Linked DNA regions of Anolis sagrei. The protein of the gene in region 1 interacts with the protein of each later gene in a pairwise test. Links are inferred from orthologs where the notes say so. Each region holds a gene or a part of one and is shown on either strand. Other genes may lie near its edges.

The links.
Region 2: the proteins of TSC22D4 (region 1) and MAD2L1 interact in binary tests that used the Homo sapiens proteins (3 or more experiments, as listed by UniProt). The two-hybrid records come from large-scale screens. The link is inferred for Anolis sagrei from reciprocal best matches to the Homo sapiens genes TSC22D4 and MAD2L1.

What each region holds. Positions count from the first base shown.
Region 1 is NC_090026.1:2,041,298-2,052,213, forward strand, and holds the start of TSC22D4 (TSC22 domain family protein 4), read left to right. Parts: upstream 1-6,738; 5' UTR 6,739-7,183; coding exon 7,184-7,927; intron 7,928-10,916.
Region 2 is NC_090025.1:35,719,016-35,729,755, forward strand, and holds the start of MAD2L1 (mitotic spindle assembly checkpoint protein MAD2A), read right to left. Parts: upstream 4,114-10,740; 5' UTR 3,933-4,113; coding exon 3,860-3,932; intron 1-3,859. UniProt on the Homo sapiens protein: Component of the spindle-assembly checkpoint that prevents the onset of anaphase until all chromosomes are properly aligned at the metaphase plate.

The DNA of each region.
Region 1 (10,916 bases):
CAACAACAACAACAACAACAACAACAACACAGGAGCTTTAGGATAGTGATTTAGGATAGTTATAGCCTTTTTGTCTTTTACTATTGATATGATCAGTGGACTAATCAATAAACAGATCTATCTATTAATAACAATAACAATAACAACAACAACAATAATAATAATAATAATCGTGGGTTGTTGTAGGTTTTTTCGGGCTATATGGCCATGTTCTAGAGGCATTCTCTCCTGACATTTTGCCTACATCTATGGCAAGCATCCTCAGAAGTAGTGAAGTCTGTTGGAACCACGAAAAATGGGTTTATATATCTGTGGAATGACCAGAGTGGACAAAGAACTCTTGTCTGTTGGAGCTAGGGGCTAATGATTGTTATATGGATGTTTAATGATTTATGTTACAATTGTTTTTAATTGCCCTATACTAGTCTCATGATGTTTTGTATTGATGTTGTTCATTGCTTTGAGTTGCCTGAGGGCTGAGAAAAGCGGTATATAAATAAAGTAAACAAATAAATAAATAAATGTTTCAACTGACCACTTTGATTAGCGTTTGATGGCCTGGCAGTGCATGGAGCAATCTTTTGTTGAGAGGTGATTGGATATCCTTGTTTGTTTCCTCAGAGGTAGTGATATATAAACCCTTTTTTTCTACTTCCAACAGACCTCACTACCTCTGAGGATGCTTGCCATAGATGCAGGCGAAACGTCAGGAGAGAATGCTTCTAGAACATGGCCATATAGCCTGAAAAAAATTACAACAACCCAGTGATTCCGGCCATGAAAGCCTTCGACAACACAATAATCACCATCATTATCATTATAATATTGATATATGGAGGATGCAACCCAGTTAAAATACCTAGACCCCATAGGTTGGGGTCCCAGGCCTCCCTGCCTTAAAGGGCCAGCGCATGAAGCCAATCCCTCAGCTGCCCTCTTGACCCCGATCCCAGACGGCGGCCTTGTTCCCTGGGATATAATCCCCGCTGCCTTGCTTCCGATCCCGGTCTTAATCCCGTTATTTCCCCGTTTGAGACGGATTAGCCTTCTAGCACCTCGGCCTTGGTGTGTGTTGTGTGTGTGTGTTTGGGTGTAATCTCTTCCCAGAGGTAGAGTGGGAGGGGGTCACTCAGAGGGCATCTAGTCCAGCCTCAATGAGAGGGACCCTGAGGTCAAAAGGACCCCAAAGGGATGGGTTGAGTTAGCACATTTCTGAAGGTGCGTCTACACCAGGCATTGCCCAACTTCGGCCCTCTGGGTGTTTTGGACTTCAACTCCCACAATTCCTAACAGCCTACCGGCTGTTAGGAATTGTGGGAGTTGGAGTCCAAAACACCCAGAGGGCCGAAGTTGGCCCATGCCTGGTCTACATTGTGTGCAGTTGGAGGCCTTTTGACTCAAGGCTATATGCTTTTCGAGCTGTCTGGCCAAGTTCCAGTAGCATTGTCTCCTGACGTTTCACCTGCATCTGTGGCTAATGGAGTCTTCAGAGGTTCTGTTGGCTGTGAGGCAAGTGGAGTGTAAATAATGTACCTGTGGAATGATGCCCAGGGTGGGAGAAAGAACCCTTGTCTGCGTGAAGCAAGTGTGAATGTTGCAATTAGCCAGCTTGAATAGCATTGAGTAGCCTTGCAGCTGCAAAGTCAATCAGTGAGGGGATCTGCATAGAGGTCATGAAGCAAGTGGAGTGTATATATCTCTGTGGAATAATGTCCAGGGTGAGAGAAAGAACCCTTGCCTGTGTGAAGCAAGGGTGGATGTTGCAATTAGTGAGCTTGATTAGCATTGAGTAGCCAGGTAGCTGCAAAGTCCATTAGTAAGGGTATCTGCATAGAGGTAGCCTAGACATCTCCCAAACAGGGTGGGAGAAAGAACCCTTATCTATTGCAATTAGCAAACTTGAATTAGCATTTGCGTAGCTCTGAAGTTTGCAAAGTCAATCAGTGAGGGTATTTTGCATAGAGGTAGCCTAGCTGTCTCCCAAACAGGGTGGGAGAAAGAACCCTTGCTTGTTGCAATTAGCAAGCTTGAATTACGATTTGAGTAGCTCTGAAGTTTGCAAAGTCAATCACTGAGGGTATCTGCATAGATGTAGCCTAGCCACTTCCCAAACAGGGTGAGAGAAAGAATCCTTGCCTGTTGCAATTAGCAAGCTTTAATTAGCATTTGAGTAGCTCTGAAGTTTGCAAAGTCAATCAGTGAGGGTATCTGCATAGAGGTAGCCTAGCTGTCTCCCCAAAAGGGTGGGAGAAAAAACCCTTATCTGTTGCAATTGGCAAGCTTGAATTAGCATTAGCAATCAGTGAGGGTACTTTGCACAGAGGTAGCCTGCACATTCCATAGATAAAAGCCCTGAAGTCTGCAAAGTCAATCACTGAGGATACTTTGCATAGAGGTAGCCTGGACATTCCATAGATAGAAAAAAAGTCCTGAAGTTTGCAAAGTCAATCAGTGAGGGTATTTTGCATAGAGGCAGCCCGGACATTCCATAGATAGAAAAAAAGTCCTGAAGTTTGCAAAGTCAATCAGTGAGGGTATTTTGCATAGAGGTAGCCTGGACATTCCATAGATAGATAGAAGCCCTGAAGTTTGCAAAGTCAACCAGTGAGGCTATTTTGCATAGAGGTAGCCCGGACATTCCATAGATAGGAGAAAGCCCTGAAGTTTGCAAAGTCAACCAGTGAGGCTATTTTGCATAGAGGTAGCCTGGACATTCCATAGATAGATAAAAGCCCAGAAGTTTGCAAAGTCAATCAGTGAGGGTATTTTGCATAGAGGTAGCCTGGACATTCCATAGATAGGAGAAAGCCCTGAAGTTTGCAAAGTCAACCAGTGAGGCTATTTTGCATAGAGGTAGCCTTGACATTCCATAGATGGATAAAAGCCCAGAAGTTTGCAAAGTCAATCAGTGAGGGTATTTTTGCACAGAGGTAGTTTGGTATTTTGCATATAGGTAGCCTGGATATTCCAGAAATAGATAAAAACCCTGAAGTTGGCAAAGTCAATGCCTCCCAAACAGGGTGCGAGAAAGAACCCTTGTCTGTTGCAATTGGCAAGCTTGAATTAGCATTTGCGGAGCCCTGAAGTTTGCAAAGTCAACCCGTGAAGGTATTTTGCACAGGGTTAGTTTGGTATTTTGTATAGACCTCTATGCAAAATACCAAACTAACCCTGTGCAAAATACCTTCACGGGTATTTTGCACCTAGCCTGGACATTTTCATAGATGGATAGACAGACTCCCCTTGCTTCCGAACAAACCTCTGAAGATGCAATTATTGTTGTTGTTATTATTGTTTTGATTACTGATGTATTGTGGGCTCGGCCTCACGTAAGCCGCACTGAGTCCCCAACCCATCCAAAACACAGACATGTGCTCTGAAGTTTGCAAAGTCAATCAGTGAGGGTCTCTGCATGGAGGTAGCCTAGCCATCTCCCAAACAGGGTGGGAGAAAGAACCCTTGCCTGTTGCAATTAGCAAGCTTGAATTACCATTTAAGTAGCTCTGAAGTTTGCAAAGTCAATCAGTGAGGGTCTCTGCATGGAGGTAGCCTAGCCATCTCCCAAACAGGGTGGGAGAAAGAACCCTTGCCTGTTGCAATTAGCAAGCTTGAATTACCATTTAAGTAGCTCTGAAGTTTGCAAAGTCAATCAGTGAGAGTCTTTGCATAGAGGTAGCCTAGCCGGTTCCCAAACAGGGTGGGAGAAAAACCCTTGCCTGTTGCAATTAGCAAGCTTGAATTACCATTTAAGTAGCTCTGAAGTTTGCAAAGTCAATCAGTGAGGGTCTCTTCATAGAGGTAGCCTAGCCAGCTCTCAAACGGGGTAGGAGAAAGAACCCTTGTCTGTTGCAATGAGCAAGCTTGAATTAGCATTTGAGTAGCCCTGAAGTTTGCAAAGTCAATCAGTGAGGGTAGTTTGCATAGAGGTAGCCTGGGCATTCCATAGATAGATAGAAGCCCTGAAGTTTGCAAAGTCAACCAGTGAGGGTATTTGCATGGAGTTAGCCTGGATATTTCACAGATAGATAAATAGATAGATCAATCGATAGACAGACTCCCCTTGCTTCTGAACAGACCCCTGAAGATGCCATTAGCCACAGATGTAGGTGAAACATCAGGAGAGAATGCTGCTGGCACATGGCTAGTACAGACCTTAAAAACTCAACAGCAACCCAGGAAAGCCTTCAAGAACACATTGTATGTGTGTTCATTCGTTCAGTCGTCTCCGACTCTTCGTGACCTCATGGACCAGCCCACGCCAGAGCTCCCTGTCGGCCGTCACCACCCCCAGCTCCTTCAAGGTCAGTCCAGTCACTTCAAGGATGCCATCCATCCGTCTTGCCCTTGGTCGGCCCCTCTTCCTTTTGCCTTCCACCCAGGAAAGCCTTCAAGAACACACTGTATACTAATGTTTATATGTCAAGATACTTTGAATCCCCTTTGGGAAAGAGAAAGAAGTGTAAATAAATGTAGCAATGTGGGGTGAAACTGTATTCATTGCATGGCAGGTATGGGCCAAATTGGTCCCTCCGTCCAGGTGTTTTGGACTCCGACTCCCACCATTCCTCACAGCCTCAGGCCCCTTCCTTTTCCCCCTCCGCCGCTTAAGCCCGTGTCTTTGTGAAGCAAGGGTAGATGTTGCAATTAGTGAGCTTGATTAGCATTAAGTAGCCAGGAAGCTGCAAAGTCAATCAGCGAGGGTCTCTGCATGGAGGTAGCCTAGCCATCTCCCAAACAGGGTGGGAGAAAGAACCCTTGTCTGTTGCAATTAGCAAACTTGAATTAGCATTTGCATAGCTCTGAAGTTTGCAAAGTCAGTCAGTGAGGGTATTTTGCATAGAGGTAGCCCGAACATTCCATAGTTGGATAAAAGCCCTGAAGTTTGCAAAGTCAATGCCTCCCAAACAGGGTGGGAGGAAAGAACCCTTGTCTGTTGTAATTGACAAGCTTGAATCGGTATTTGCGGAGCCCTGAAGTCTGCAAAGTCAATCAGTGAGGGTATTTTGCACAGGGTTAGTTTGGTATTTTGCTTAGACCTCTATACCTTCACGGATATTTTGCACCTAGCCTGGACATTTTCATAGATGGATAGACAGACTCCCCTTGCTTCCGAACAAACCTCTGAAGATGCCATTATTATTGTTGTTGTTATTGTTTTGATTACTGATGTAATTTGGGCTCGGCCTCACGTAAGCCGCACCGAGTCCCCAACTCATCCAAAACACAGACATGTGCCCTGAAGTTTGCAAAGTCAATCAGTGAGGGTCTCTGCGTGGAGGTAGACTAGCCATCTCCCAAACAGGGTGGGAGAAAGAACCCTTGCCTGTTGCAATTAGCAAGCTTGAATTACCATTTGAGTAGCTCTGAAGTTTGCAAAGTCAATCAGTGAGAGTCTTTGCATAGAGGTAGCCTAGCCGGTTCCCAAACGGGGTGGGAGAAAAAACCCTTGCCTGTTGCAATGAGCAAGCTTGAATTACTATTTGAGTAGCTCTGAAGTTTGCAAAGTCAATCAGTGAGAGTCTTTGCATAGAGGTAGCCTAGCCGGTTCCCAAACGGGGTGGGAGAAAAAACCCTTGCCTGTTGCAATGAGCAAGCTTGAATTACTATTTGAGTAGCTCTGAAGTTTGCAAAGTCAATCAGTGAGAGTCTTTGCATAGAGGTAGCCTAGCCGGTTCCCAAACGGGGCATTCCATAGATTGATAGAAGTCCTGAAGTTTGCAAAGTCAATCATTGAGGGTATTTTGCATACAGGTAGCCTGGACATTCCATAGATAGTTTGCAAAGTCAGTGCCTCCCAAACAGGGTGGGAGGAAAGAACCCTTGTCTGTTGCAATTGGCAAGCTTGAATCGGCATTTGCGGAGCCCTGAAGTTTGCAAAGTCAACCCGTGAGGGTATTTTGCACAGGGGTAGTTTGGTATTTTGCAAAGAGGTAGCCCAGACATTCCATAGATAGATAGACAGCCAGACTCCCCTTGCTTCTGAACAAACCTCTGAAGATGCCATTAGCCACTGATTGAAACATCAGGAGGGAATGCTGCTGGAGTCAATCAGTGAGGGTATTTTGCACAGTGAGGGTAGTTTGGTATTTTGCATAGAGGTAGCCTGGACATTCCATAGATAGATAAATAGATAGATAGATCAATCGATAGACAGACTCCCCTTGCTTCTGAACAGACCCCTGAAGATGCCATTAGCCACAGATGTAGGTGAAACATCAGGAGAGAATGCTGCTGGCACATGGCTAGTACAGACCTTAAAAACTCAACAGCAACCCAGGAAAGCCTTCAAGAATACATTGTATACTAATGTTTATATGTCAAGATACTTTGAATCCCCTTTGGGAAAGAGAAAAGGAAGTGTAAATAAATGTAGCAATGTGGGGTGAAACTGTATTCATTGCATGGCAGGTATGGGCCAAATTGGGCTCTCCGTCCAGGTGTTTTGGACTCCGACTCCCACCATTCCTCACAGCCTCAGGCCCCTTCCTTTTGCCCCTCAGCCGCTTAAGCGGCTGAGGGGCAAAAGGAAGGGGCCTGAGGCTGTGAGGAATGGTGGGAGTCGGAGTCCAAGCTACCTGGATGGAGAGCCCAATTTGGCCCATACCTGTGCGTGCTTCTTCTCTCTGGGCCTTCTTGGCCTTGCTTTGCTGGGCTCCGGGAAGGAAGGGGTTAAGGGGGGCTGGGCCAGCCTTGGGGGGAGGGCAAGGGAGGGGAGGGGAGGGGCAGGCAGTCAGCTGGTTGGGAAGGAAGGACTGACGGAAGGAAGGAAGGAGGGGCCGGACTGACTTCCTTGCTGCTGCTTCTGCTGCTTCGGGTGTCACTCCTCGGTTGCTTCGCCTTGTCAACAGCCTTGCCTTGGGCCAACCGAGGTCGCGGCCTCCCCTAGACAGACCCTCTTTTTTCCCCCTCCCCAATCTTCCCCTTCCCCAAGCCAGGCTTTGTCTATCTCTAAGCTCTGTTGGGGTCTCCCTGACCTTTGACCCCCTTGTGTTGTGACCCCGGCATGGGGTCGGCTTCAGGACTGCGTTGGTGTCTTGCTAATCATAACGATAGGAATTAGACTATACTGATATTCCACCCTCCTCTCTCCCCTCGCCAGGATTTGGGGACGATGATGATGATGATGAGGAGGACAACGACGGTGCCGCCTCGGTGAAGCCCCCGCCTCGTTGCCCCCAGGACCATGAGCGGCGGAGGCAAGAAGAAGAGCGGGTTCCAGATCACCAGCGTCACTTCGGACTACGAGCAGAAAGAAGGACGAGCGGACGCCGCAAAGGTTGGGACGGAAGCAGAAGGGGACGCTGGCCCGCGGGCCAACGGCGGCAACGGTGGGGCGGCCAGAAATGGCCCCACGGCCCCCACCTCCCCGTTGACCGCTCCGTCGCTGGTGTCCGGCTCGCGCTTCCGGGTGGTGAAGCTGGACCCAGGTCCCGGGGAGCCTTACAAGCGTGGCCGCTGGACGTGCCGGGACTTCTACGACGCCGAAGCCGAATCCCACCCCCAGCACCCCTTTGTGGGGCGGCTGGCCGAAGCCGGGCGACACCCGCAGTCTCTGGACTCCCGGCTGGAAGTGGCTGGACTGCTGACCCATCCTCAAGGGCCCTTCAGCCCGCAACCTCAGCGCAGAGGAGGAGGATTTGGAGGTGCCTGCGCCGGTTTGCACTCCCAACTGGTGTTGCCCCCAGCTACGTCCAGCCACCAGGCTCGCTCCCTCGGCGGAGGTCTCCCGGTTATGGTCCGGCCCCACAGGACTCCCCCCAGCCCGGTCTCCCTCCGCAGCCCCCTGGCCTCGGTCCCCAAAGAGGCCGGGGATCCCGGGACCCTCTCTGTTGGGGCCCCAACCGTGCCCACTTTGGTGGTGGAGGAGCACCTCCTGCCCAAGAGCGTCTCAAAGCTGATCCAGAGGGAGACGGATGAGCGACGCAAGGTGAGGCTTTGGGGTGGGCCTGGGTTTGGGGGGCAGGTGGTCCTCCACGTCCTCTGGTTGGCACCATCAAAGTCTTGGGAAGAATAACTCGAAAACATGGAACCGAGGAAGAATAACTGGAAGGCATGGAGCAATAACGGAGGAAGACTCACCCAAAGGCGTGGAACCATCATAGAGCCAGAGCTTCTATTATGGTTCCTCTGTCATGGTTCCAAGCCTTTGGGTGAGTCTTCCTCCATTGTATTGTCGAAGGCGTTCATGGCTGGAATCACTCAGTTCTTGTGGGTTTTTTCGGGCTATACGGCCATGTTCTAGAGGCATTTCTCCTGACGTTTCGCCTGCATCTATGGCAAGAGGAGAAATGCCTCTAGAACATGGCCCTATAGCCCGAAAAAACCCACAAGAACCTAGACCTCACCTCTGAGGATGCTTGTCATAGATGCAGGCGAAACGTCAGGAGAAATGCCTCTAGAACATGGCCGTATAGCCCGAAAAAACCCACAATAATCTTCCTCCGTTATGGTTGCATGCCTTCAAGTCCTTCCCAACTCAGGACGGCCCACATTTAAGGTTTCCCAGGCCAGATCTCCTTGCAGTAGCTTCCTTCCAAGGCTGAGAGAATGTGACTCTCTCCCCAGTGTGCGGTTTCAAATCCAGGCCTCATAGAGTTTTGGAGCAGGGTTCAGTATTCAAGCCTTTGGGGCCCAATTGATTTCAGGCAAAATTGTAGCTCTGAAGTTTGCAAAGTCAATCAGTAAGGGTCTCTGCATAGAGGTAGCCTAGCTGGCTCCCAGATGGGATGAGAGAAAGAACCCTTGCATCTTGCAATTAGCAAGCTTGAATTAGCATTTGAGTAGCCCCAAAGTTTGTGAAGTCAATCAGTGAGGGTCTCTGCATAGAGGTAGCCTAGCCGGCTCCCAGATGGGATGAGAGAAAGAACCCTTGCATCTTGCAATTAGCAAGCTTGAATTAGCATTTGAGTAGCCCCGAAGTTTGTGAAATCAATCAGTGAGGGTCTCTGCATAGAGGTAGCCTGGCCAGCTCCCAAACGGGTGGGAGAAAGAACACTCGCCTGTTGCAATTAGCAAGCTTGAATTAGCATTTGCATAGCTCTGAAGTTTGTGAAGTCAATCAGTAAGAGTCTCTAGAGATAGTCTAGCCGTCTCCCAAACAGGATGGGAGAAAGAACCCTCGCCTGTTGCAATTAGCAAGCTTGAATTAGCATTTGAGTAGCTCTGAAGTTTGCGAAGTCAATCAGTAAGGATATCTGCATAGAGGTAGCCTAGCCACTTCCCAAACAGGGTGGGAGAAAGAACCCTTGTCTGTTGCAGTTGGTAAGCTTGAATTAGCATTTTAAGAGCCCTGAAGTTTGCAAAGTCAATCAGTGAGGGCATTTTGCATAGAGGGAGCCTGGACATTCCATAGATAGATAGAAGCCCTGAAGTTTGCAAAGTCAATCACTGAGGGTATTTTGCATAGAGGGAGCCTGGACATTCCATAGATAGATAGAAGCCCTGAAGTTTGCAAAGTCAATCACTGAGGGTATTTTGCATAGAGGGAGCCTGGACATTCCATAAATAGATAGAAGCTCTGAAGTTTGCAAAGTCAATCAGTGAGGGTCTCTGCATAGAGGCGTGGAACCATAATAAAGCCAGAGCTTCTATTATGGTTCCTCTATCATGGTCCCATGCCTTTGGGTGATTCTCCCTCCGTTATTGTTGCATGCCTTCAAGTCCTTCCCGACTCAGGACGGCCCTCGCTTAAGGTTTCCCCGGGCCAGATCTCCTTGCAATAGCTTCCTTCCAAGGCTGAGAGAATGTGACTCTCTCCCCAGTGCGCAGTTTCGAATCCAGGCTTAATAGAGTTTTGGAGCACAAGACTCCTGAACTTACGATCATGGAAAAAAACAAAGTGCGGATCGTCAATGTTGCAATCCCAGGTGACAGCAGAATTGACGAGAAGCAACTGGAAAAGCTGACACGATGCAAAGATTTAAAGCTCGAACTGCAAAGACTCTGGCACAAGCCGATCAAGGGGGTCCCAGTGGTGATTGGCACACTGGGTGCAGTGCCTCAAGCCCTCGGCCTGTACTTAAAAACAATATGCACTGACAAAATCACCACCTGTCAGCTGCAAAAGGCCACCCTAATAATAATAATAATAATAATAATAGTAGTAGTAGTAATAGTAGTAGTAATAGTAATAATAGTAATAATAGTAACAATAGTAATAATAATAATACAACACAATATGAGGATTTAAAGCTTGAACTGCACAAGCCGGTCAAGGGGGTCCCAGTGGTGATCTGCACACTGGGTGCAGTGCCTCAGGACCTCGGCCTGTACTTAAAAACAATATGCACTGACAAAATCACCACCTGTCAGCTGCAAAAGGCCACCCTAATAATAATAATAGTAATAGTAATAGTAATAGTAATAGTAATAATACAACACAATATGAGGATTTAAAGCTCGAACTGCAAAGACTCTGGCACAAGGCGGTCCCAGTGGTGATCGGCACACTGGGTGCAGTGCCTCAAGCCCTCGGCCTGCACTTAAACACAATCGGCGCTGACAAAATCACCACCTGTCAGCTGCAAAAGGCCATCCTAATACTACTACTACTACTACTACTAATAATAATAATAATAATAATACAACACAATATGAGGATTTAAAGCTCAAAGCGCAAAGACTCTGGCACGAGCCGGTCAAGGTGGTCCCAGTGGTGATCAGCAAACTGGGTGCAGTGCCTAAAGACCATGACCTGCACTTAAAAACAATCGGCGCTGACAAAATCACTAACTGTCAGCTGCAAAAGGCCACCCTAATATTAATAATAACAATAGTAATAATAATAATAATAATACACAATATGAGGATTTAAAGCTCGAACTGCGAAGACTCTGGCACAAGCCAGTCAAGGGGGTCCCAGTGGTGATCGGCACACTGGGTGCAGTGCCTCAAGACCTTGGCCTGTGCTTAAAAAC
Region 2 (10,740 bases), on another chromosome or scaffold:
AATACTTCATCATGCTCTTTTTCTTTCCCATTAAGTATTTCCAAATGGCAAGGCAATATTGGCATACACAATAGTGTAGTAAAAGATATCTCATATATAACATGGCAAAATCAAGGTTTGCTTTTAGGAATTGTTTATTTTTTTGGAGGGAGGGAATATTTTTAGGATGATTGAACCCATGGCTATGGAGGGCTAGCTGTGTTGTATATATTCATCTCTCCATGTTTGTGGTTTAGATTTTTGTTCATTTGATTATTCACAGATTTGACTTAAAATATTTATTTATTAACTTGCATATATTTATATCCCACTCTTCTCACCCTGAAGGGGACTCAGGGCGGCTTACATAAGGGGCACTATTCCATGCCCGAATAACAGTTAAAAACAATTAAACGACGATTAAAAACAACATTAAAGCAACATATGCACACATTAGACAACTATTGTGCATATATTCATGAAGATAGTCATATTCATCAATCCAAAACCAATTCCAGTTATATTGCACAAGTAATTATGCTCCTAAAGCCGAGTTTTAATTTGTTTGCAAAATGACAGGTGGGAAGCCGATCTAATTCCACAGCCGAGGGGCCACCACTGAGAAGACCCTCTTTCTTGTCTCCACCAGCCGTGCCTGCGAAGGTGGTGGGACTGAGAGCAGGGCCTCACCAGAAGATCTTAGCCTCTGCAATGGTTCATAGAGGGAGATGCGTTCAGACAGGTAAACTGGGCCAAGGCCGTTAAGGGCTTTATAGACCAAAGCCAGCGCTTTGAATTGTGCTCGGTAGCAAGCTGGCAGCCAATGGAGCTGGCATAACAGGAGGATTGTGTGCTCTCTGTACGCCACTCCTGTTAGCAATATGGCTACCACACATTAGACTAGTTGAAGCTTCCAAAAAGTCTTGAAAAGCAGCCCCACATACAGTGCATTACGAGATGAAACCAACAGATGTAACTAGTCTATACGAGATGTATTTTCTCTAAGAATATGCCCTGAACCCCAGAAAGCTGTACTGCCTTTGCCAACTCTTATTACTCAAAAGATTAAAATCTAACACTCACTCTGGGAGAAGACAGCAATGTAAAGACACGGCAGGGTTAATATGAATTTACAGTGGAAGCCAACAGAGATCTAACTTTGATTTGTTTTAATTGGGAATGCTTTAATACTATTTATATTTAATCCTGCTTTAATGTTCGTATATTTGTATATTTCAAATGGCTATGCTGATGCTTTTATGTCAAGCTGTTTTGAGTTCCTTGGGGAGATAAAGCAGGGTATAAATAAACATAATAATAATCTATGTAACAGAAACCCCAGATTTCAACTAGACTTGTTTTTAGGTTGAGAAGGTCTAACACAGGCATAGGCAAACTTCAGCCCTCCAGGTATTTTGGACTTCAAGGCTGTTAGGAATTGTGGGAGTTGAAGTCATAATTGCTTTTAGGGTATATACTGAAATGTCTTACTCATGTTTTAGTTTACTGTGTCTTATTGGATTGCTTTATGTTAATTTCAGCCTTTCTCACCCCGAAGGGGACTCAGAGCAACTTACTTCTTTGCTCTTAGTTTGCTGCTGTTTCTGTGCCTTATCTTGTATTATTTTGATGTGTTTGTATTCATTTGGGGCATTGAATGTTTGCCTTTTGCTTTGTGTCTGTAAACCACCCTGAGTCCCTTCGGGAAGGAGGTAGATCTTGAAGCAAAGTTTTTTTTAATATTATCATTATTATAAATGTGCAAATACTAAAAGACATTTATTTATTTACGACATTTATATCCTGCCCTTCTCACCCCAAAGGGGACTCAGAACAGCTTACAAGTTATATGTACATACAATATATTATATTATTAGAATAGCACAACATAAGTATTATATATTACTATATTGTACTATACTACTATACTGCAATATTATTAGTAATATTACATACAATATATAATCATTATATTATATTGTATTATTATTAGTATTATTATATTGTATCACAATATTATGACCAATATTATATGTACATACAATAGATTATATTATTAGCATGGCACAATATCAGTATTATATATGATTATATTATAATATTGCATTATTAGTAGTATTATATTGTATTACAGTATTATGATCAATGTTATATGTACATATAATATATTATATTAGCTGAGCACAATATTAGTATTATATACCACTAAACTGCAATATTATTAGTAATTACATGTAATATATAATATACAATTATGTTGCATTATTATTAGAATTACATTGTATTACAATATCATGATCAATATTATATGTACATACAATAGATTATATTATTAGCATGGCACAATATTAATATTATATATTACTATATTGTACTATGCCACTATACTGCAATATTATTAGTAACAATACATGTGATATATAATTATTATATTATATTGTATTATTAGTGTTATATTGTATTACAATATTATGATCAATGTTATATCTACATACAGTATATTATATTATTAGCACAGCACAATATTAGTATTATATATTACTATATTGTACTATACCACTATTATTAGTAATATTACATGTAATATACAATATACAATTATTATATTGCATTATATTGTATAACAATATTATAATCAATGTTACATGTACATACAGTATATTATATTATTAGCATAGCACAATATTAGTATTATATATTACTATATTGTACTATACCACTACAGTGCAATATTATTAGTAATATTACATGTAATATATAATTATTATATTGCATTATATTGTATAACAATATTATAATCAATTTTATACATACATACATTATATTAGCATAGCACAATGTTAGTATTATATATATTACTATATTGTACTATACCACTATACTGCAATATTATTAGTATTATATTATATTACAATATTATGATCAATGTTACATGTACATACAATATATTATATTAGCATAGCACAATGTTAGTATTATATATTACTATATTGTACCATACCACTATACTGCAATATTATTAGTATTATATTGTATTACAATATTATGATCAATGTTACATGTACATACAATATGTTATATTAGCATAGCACAATATTAGTATTATATATTACTATATTGTACTATACCACTATACTGCAATATTAGTAATATTACTTGTAATATATAATACACAATTATTATATCATAGTATTATTAGTATAATATTGTATTACATTATAATGTTATCATCAATATTATATGTATATACAATATATATTATTAGCATAGCACAATATTAGACATTCTTAAGGAGGCATTTCTATTTATATTGCAAAGGAGACTTCCCTGGAGAGAGTTCTTCCCATGTTTTCCTTATCTATCATACTTCTTAATATCAAAGGAGACAGAGAAAGGGAAGAAAGACAAACAGAATCAGGAAACACATTGGCTGCTTTAAAGTTTCAGCTGAATAGGCCTCAGTTCAGCTTCAGCCTGGCCTATTTACAATCTACACCAGGCATGGGCAAACTTGGGCCCTCCAGGTGTTTTGGACTTCAACTCCCACAATTTCTAACAGCCTCAGGCCCTTTCCTTTTCACCCTGAAAAGGAAAGGGCCTGAGGCTGTTAGGAATTGTGGGAGTTGAAGTCCAAAACACCTGGAGGGCCCAAGTTTGCCCATCCCTGATCTACACTTGAATTAATACAGTTCGAATCCACTTTAACGGCTATGGCTCAATGCTACAGAATTGTGGGATATGTAGTTTGTTGAGGCACCACCACTCTTTGGCAGAAAGAACTATAGGCCTTGTAAAGCTACACCTCCCATAATTCAATAGCACCCGGCCATAGCAATTACTATAGTGTCAAACCGCCCCCACAGTCTTGTAATCGACTCACAAAAGAACTCGGCCACGATTTCCGCGCTGCCCCGCAGGGTGATGCCTTGCTCCCGGCTCTGCTGCTTCGCCATGGCGGGCAGGAAGGAAAAGGGCCAGCAGGGTCAGGATCCAAACGAGAAACCACCGGAAGAAGGCCTCCCCCAAAGCCTTGGAAATTCGCCCCTTCCAAAACACGAGACAGTAGCTTTAGAGGCCTTCCCGCCACGCTTTTCAAAATCCAAAGCCCCGCCCCTGCATCGTCACGTGGTCCCAAGACGCAAGACTTGACGCCGGCGACTCACTGCGCAGGCGCAAACGGAGGAAGACGACAGAGACGTTCTATTTCATTTGAGCCGCCTTTAGCTCTTATTATGTGCGCATGCGCGGCTTTCTCAATGAAGTTTTCCCGCGGTTTCCCACCCAATTGATGTAAGACTTAAAATATTGCTTTTAACAGCCAGCTATATGGAATTCCAGGATTAGTAAAGTTAAGATATCTAAGGAATCTGCCAATCCCAAATTAGTTCTCTTACAAACAGAAACATAAAGAAAGAATGACCAAAGTTTTGATCCTTTTGAGATTTTATTTATTTGTCATGTCAGGACAACCAGCCAAATTATATTGCATTTCTAACACAACAAAGCAAACAAACAGACAAAATACAAAATTTGTGAGTTTGGTAGTTGATTAAATGTCCTTTTGAGATGCCACCCAACAAACTTCCCCATTTATCTAAATGTTCATGCACCTGATTCTAATTATTTCCATTAGCTAAGCTGATGCAACCAGGTGTTTATTTACTTTTGTACTTATTCAGGACTCATTGTTTTCCTTAATGCTGGCCCTTTTTATAGTTGTGATTGTGACTTGAAACTATATATTAGAGCAGGCATGGGCAAACTTGGGCCCTCCAGGTGTTTTGGACTTCAACTTCCACAATTCCTAACAGCCTACCGGCTGTATTGTGGAAGGCTTTCATGGCCGGAATCCATGGGTTGTTGTAGGTTTTTCCGGGCTATATGGCCATGTTCTGGAGGCAATTTTTCTCCTGACGGCTGTTAGGAATTGTGGGAGTTGAAGTCCAAAACACCTGGAGGGCCCAAGTTTGCCCACATCTGCACAATCAATATTAGCTAGCTGCAATATGAAACAACAGTGCAATTTGGGTCTACCGTTCACAGTCCTCCTCCCCCCTTTGTGTTATTTACAATCAGAGAAAACCCATTGTGAATCCCATTTATTTCACTGGATCTACTGACATTTGTTTGATCAGATATATGCCATTACAAATTTGATGAAGTGGGACTTTGGTTGACAGAAAAGTAAACAATGTGTTCATTTTTCTTCCACAGTCTGAGCAGGTTTTATTTATTTTGTGTCAAAAGCATTGCATAAACAAATAAGTATAAAACTGATAAAATAAAAAGAGCACAAACAGCTAGATAATTTTAGACCAAAAACTGGCAACAGACTGCATTGTCTGTAGCTTTAACTAGTTCTTCTGCTATGTATGAGGCAGGACATCGTGGGCAAGCATCTAGATGTGGAGTTGTTTGTTCTGCTCCACAGTCACACAAAGTAAACTCCGCATCTATATGCTAATAGGTAGTGCCATTTTCCCAGGTTGTCTTTTGATCTACCAACTCCGCTTCTGAGTCTTTTCAGGGACTTCCAAGTTGCTCATTCTTGGTTTGCCCCTGGAGGAGGACCCTCATGGGGGGTGGGGCATCCGGTTGGGATTTCCTGGTTTAGATTTGGTCGTGTCAGGAGCGACCTGAGAAACTGCAAGTCGCTTCTGGTGTGAGAGAATTGGCTGTCTGCAAGGACGTTGCCCAGGGGACACCCAGATGATTTAATGTTTAGATGCCCAAAGGGATATTCTTGCTGTTTCTTGGGGAGCATTAAGAGGAGTGTTGGTTCTCATGAAACTTTCCCTTGATTTAAGTCTACAGGGAGGAGACTAATAAACATACAGTGCATGGTTTTCAGTGTTCAACCTTATTTCTCTCGTAATTAGCAACAGCCATTGCACATTGGGGGGGGGGGGGTAATGCCAGATAGCTTATAGAGTCTATCAACAGGTGTACATTTGGGACATCCTGTGATTATTCTACATGTCTCATTCAGTGCTATAGTCACTTGCTTCATGTAGGCAGACTTGTGCCAAACAAGGCAGGCATACTCAGCAGTTGAGTAAGACAAGGCCAGGGCTGATGTTCTTATTAATTTTGGGTCTGCACCCCATGCACTATTAGTAAGTTTCGACAGGATGTTATTGTGTGCAGATACTTTGTGCTTGGTGTTCGCACAGTGTTTCCTAAATGTTAGTGTTTGATCCAAGGTAACGCCGAGATATTTAGGGTGGGAACAGTGTTCAAGTTCTTGGCCTTCCCAGGTAACCTTCAGTTTCCTGTTGCCTTCACCATTATGTTGGTGGAAAGCACACACTTGGGTCTTGGCAGGTGTAATACTTCAAAGACAACCACCTGAGAGATTTTTCAGGGCATTAGTAAGTTGGTTTTCTACTGTTTCAAAGTCCTTTGCTTGTGTTGTTAGGCCAAGGTCATCAGTGTATATAAAGCTCTTTGTGAGTTGTGGTTGTGGCTAATCATTAGTATAAATGTTAAACAGCGTATGTGCAAGAACACTGCCTTGAAGTAGATCATTATTTTGCCTTCTCCATCTACCTTTCCTGCCCTAAGACTCCATATAGAAGCTGAGGTTTTCTAGGAGGGTCTGGATAGTTTTTATAAAATCGTAATCCCAGGTGATATGGTAGACTTTATGCAGCAATTTCCTATATTACACCATGTCATAGGCTGCCATAAGGTCCACAAAAACTATTCCCGTAATACAATCTTTCTCATAGCCTTCCCTGATATACTAGGTCAAGTTAAGAATTTGAGCTGTACAGTTTTTCCCTAGTCTGAAACCTGCTTGTTGTGCAATAAGCTGGGGTTCAATAACAGGGCCTAGTTGATTTAATAGCATACCCTCATATATTTTATACCAATGTCACATGAGAGTGATTGGTCGGTAGTTCTTGGCATTGGAGGCATCTTTACCAGGTTTTCAAATGCCAATAGTTTGAGCAGGTAGTAATAATTTATGGTGATAAAATGTAAACATAATTTAGACTCCTTCCTCTTGTAAATTATGACTGGATTAGTTGAGAACAAGTTTTGGAACATAAGAATGTGAAGGTCCAGAGCATTACTGAATTCGTTTTGCCATTTCTAGAATAGATTTAGGTTTTTCACTAGAATTACCACAAGATGGTAGTGTTTAACTAAAAGTGCTTGATTCTCTCAGTGTTGTCCTGAAAAGTGAAAAAAAACAAACAAAACAGCATGGACAGTCAAAGGACAGCCTCACTCATTGCAATGGCCCAGATCCTTCTGCATCACAAAAGGAAAAAAAAAGTTCCTGGCTGTCATGTTCAATGCATGCAAATAATGTACATCTTTGATCACATTAACTTTTTTATCAATTCATGGGGCAAATATTCTGCAGCTGTGTTTGTCGCTTTTGGCACTAGATAAATGTTAGTATAAATTGTTCACACACAAACACATTTGATTTCTGTTTACAATAAATTGCTTTGCTTATTTGACCTGTTTGCCAACAATTTTATCTCTTTTTCCTAGTAGAAAAAAAAAATCAGTGTTTTATCCACATCCACTTTGTCTTCTTCCTCACCACTTTTATTTTTTCTTAATAAAAGTGAAAGGATTTCATCTTTTTGACAAGGACAATGAGTTATGTTTTTGAATATTCAAATAAGGTCTTGAGAAAAGTTTTTTATTTTAAAAAAAACCCAAGTGAATTTGTTTTCATTTCAATAAAATAACAATGTTATCAAATGCATGTTATTTGCTTCGTCCAATTCAGCCTTGCATCAAAGGGTATTTTATACCCTGCAGATGTTTATTCACCCCTATTTTACATAGAACAGCCATCCTGTATACTGAAATGTAGTGTAAAGGATTTATGGAATTGAAGGGGCATGCACTCTGCACATTCCCAGAAGTCCCCTTCTGTCTTGGAAGGGTGGCATGGAAGGACACAACAACAAATTGAATCTCTCTGAAGATTAGCTTTATTTGCCGACCGTGCAAATGGCGGCAGTTGTGCTCTACACATGAAAAGACTACCGCGCCCCAAAAGATTGGGATCGCAATCTTTTATTGTTTTACAGAAATCCAAAAAGTGCATTTTGATTGATGTCAACATATTGTCTGTTTGATTGGTCTAAGCTTGCCTAATACATTTCGGATTGGCTCTTTATTCCTAAGCAAGCAGACAGGTGGAAAACAACAGAAACTAGAATTAACTGGAAAGTTCACATCTCTTTCAAGTGACCCTGACTCGCTGGGAAGTGCTTGGCAGGCACTGGCTTATCTTTTGCTTACAAGAATGCTGTGTGAAAGAATAGGGAGGGTAGGCACGAAGGCTACTCCCTAAGCTGCAGTGGCAGCTCTTTTTCAAAGCTATATTTCAGTCTATTTACACTCTACAGATGGAACCTACAGTCCTATAGTGCAATTTAAAATATTATAAAACTACATCCCCTTCAGAACAACTTTGTTTTCCTTGCACTTTTCCTTTGGTTTCTTCTTTATGTCATCATTAATCTGAAGTTCAAGATTAACAGATTGTATGCATATATTTCAAATATTTTATTAATAAGTCAGTCTGTCTTCCATTCTATACTATTGAAACAAAGGAAGTCGGCCATGTTTCTGCTGACCAACATGTTATTATATTATCTTTTATAAAATGAGCAGCCAAAAATTATTATGAAGGGATATTTGAAGTCAAGATACTTTCCTGTTCCATCCCTTTTAAACTATACAGTAGAGTCTCGCTTATCCAACCTTTGCTCATCCAACGTTCTATATTATCCAACGCAATCTGCCTCCCATCCAGATCCACAAATGTTTCAATACTTTGCAATGTTTTGGTGCTAAATTTGTAAATATAGTAATGACTACATAACGTTACCGTATATAGAACTGCTTTTTCTGTCTATTTGTTGTAAGACATAATGATTTGGTACTTAATTTGTAAAATCATAACATAATTTGATGTTTAATAGGCTTTTCCTTAATCCTGCCTTATTATACAACATTTTCGCTTATCCAACCTTCTGCCGGGAATTTATGTTGGATAAGCGAGACTCTACTGTATATTTATGATTACTTAGTAGTTGAAATGTAAGGATTGCATGTCATATGACAAAAATTAGTTCCATGTAGAAATTAGCTTAGTACTTTATTTAATTGCACGCAACATGTAAAATCGGTTCCAAATCCTGGCATCCCTACTATTTATTGATGTTTTGCCCTGTTGGGAGTGTCTACTCTCTAATAAGCAGCAGCTGATTTTACCCAGACATTTCGAGCCACCTGTTGTGACCATGGAAAATGTTCCTAATAAACACCTTCTTCAAAGTGACTTTTCCAGCTGACACAGAGGGATTCCAGTCACTCTTTTGATAGTATTTTAACCAAATATGTGTTGGTTAAATTAAATAAATTTTATGCTCCTTCTCTGGAAAAGATCAAGCACCTTTAAATGCAAAATGGTTGAGTCACAGAAGCTGTGCTTTGTAATTAACTGTTGCCACTCTTTTCAAATGAAAAGCAGATTGCAGTGTAGAGTTCAGCATGTCAACTTATGATATGAGCACAAATATTTTGTGTACCAGACATTTTAAAGGAAGCTGAACTAGACAGATTGTATTTAGACAGCCGTATGAGCACCAACAACAACGCTATCTTAAATATTTGTCAGTTGCACTAAGACAATTTAACGTTAAGATTGTTTTAGAGTTCACCTTTGGAAATATAACATAATTCATGTTTTTTTTTCTGTCATATCTAGATTCCAGTTATTTTTTTTGAAATAGTAAGCTAACTTCTAGTGGCTTAGGTCTCTTAAGTATGTTTTCCTATAAAATACTTGGTCTTGGATTACTTTCATGTATTTGCTTCCAATCTTGTTTCTTGCTAATAAATTAGTTGAAAGCTGACCTTTCTCTTTGATTTATGGAATATCAATCTTCACACCCCCAAGAGTGAATCTTTTCTTTTCTTTTCTTTTCTTTTCTTTTCTTTTCTTTTCTTTTCTTTTCTTTTCTTTTCTTTTCTCATATGGACTTTAATGTCCCATAAATGTTCTTACTAGATTTTGGCTCAAGAATCTTGATTTCCTGGGATTGGACTCAAGTCTGGAATACTTCAATTCTTTTTTCTTTGTTTACCTTGTCTGAATTGAGGAGTTTCTCATCACAAGAATATATTGTTTGGAATTATTACCATCTGGCAGACAATGTAGTATGATAAAAACAAGGACAAATAGGCGGAAAAGATAGTTTTTATTCCAGAGCTGTGACTATATTTATCTATATATTTATTTATTTATCACTAGCCATCCCCTGCCACACGTTGCTGTGGCCCACTCTGTGTATATGTGTTTTGGATGTGTATATATGCGTATATTTGTATATATGTGTATATATGTGTTTGTGTATATGTATGATTTTGCGCACCCTTTGAAATGTATTTTGGGGGAGTTGGCTTTTAAAGTCTCTTGTGCTGTATTTTTCAGCGTTTTTATGAGTGATGGTCACTTGTCCTGATAGGTGTGTTATGTCCAAATTTGGTGTCAGTTCGTCCAGTGGTTTTTGAGTTATGTTAATTCCACAAACAAACATTACATTTATATAGATGTCAGGAGGAAACCAAGGATACCGTTGTAATGTATTAAAAGCAAACAACAGCAACAAAACCACAAAGTTTGAAAACTTGGCATTCTATTAAATGTCCTTTGACCAGAAGCTGGACACTTGGAGTACCTCTGGTGTTGCTATATGAAAGTCCTCCATTGTGCATGTG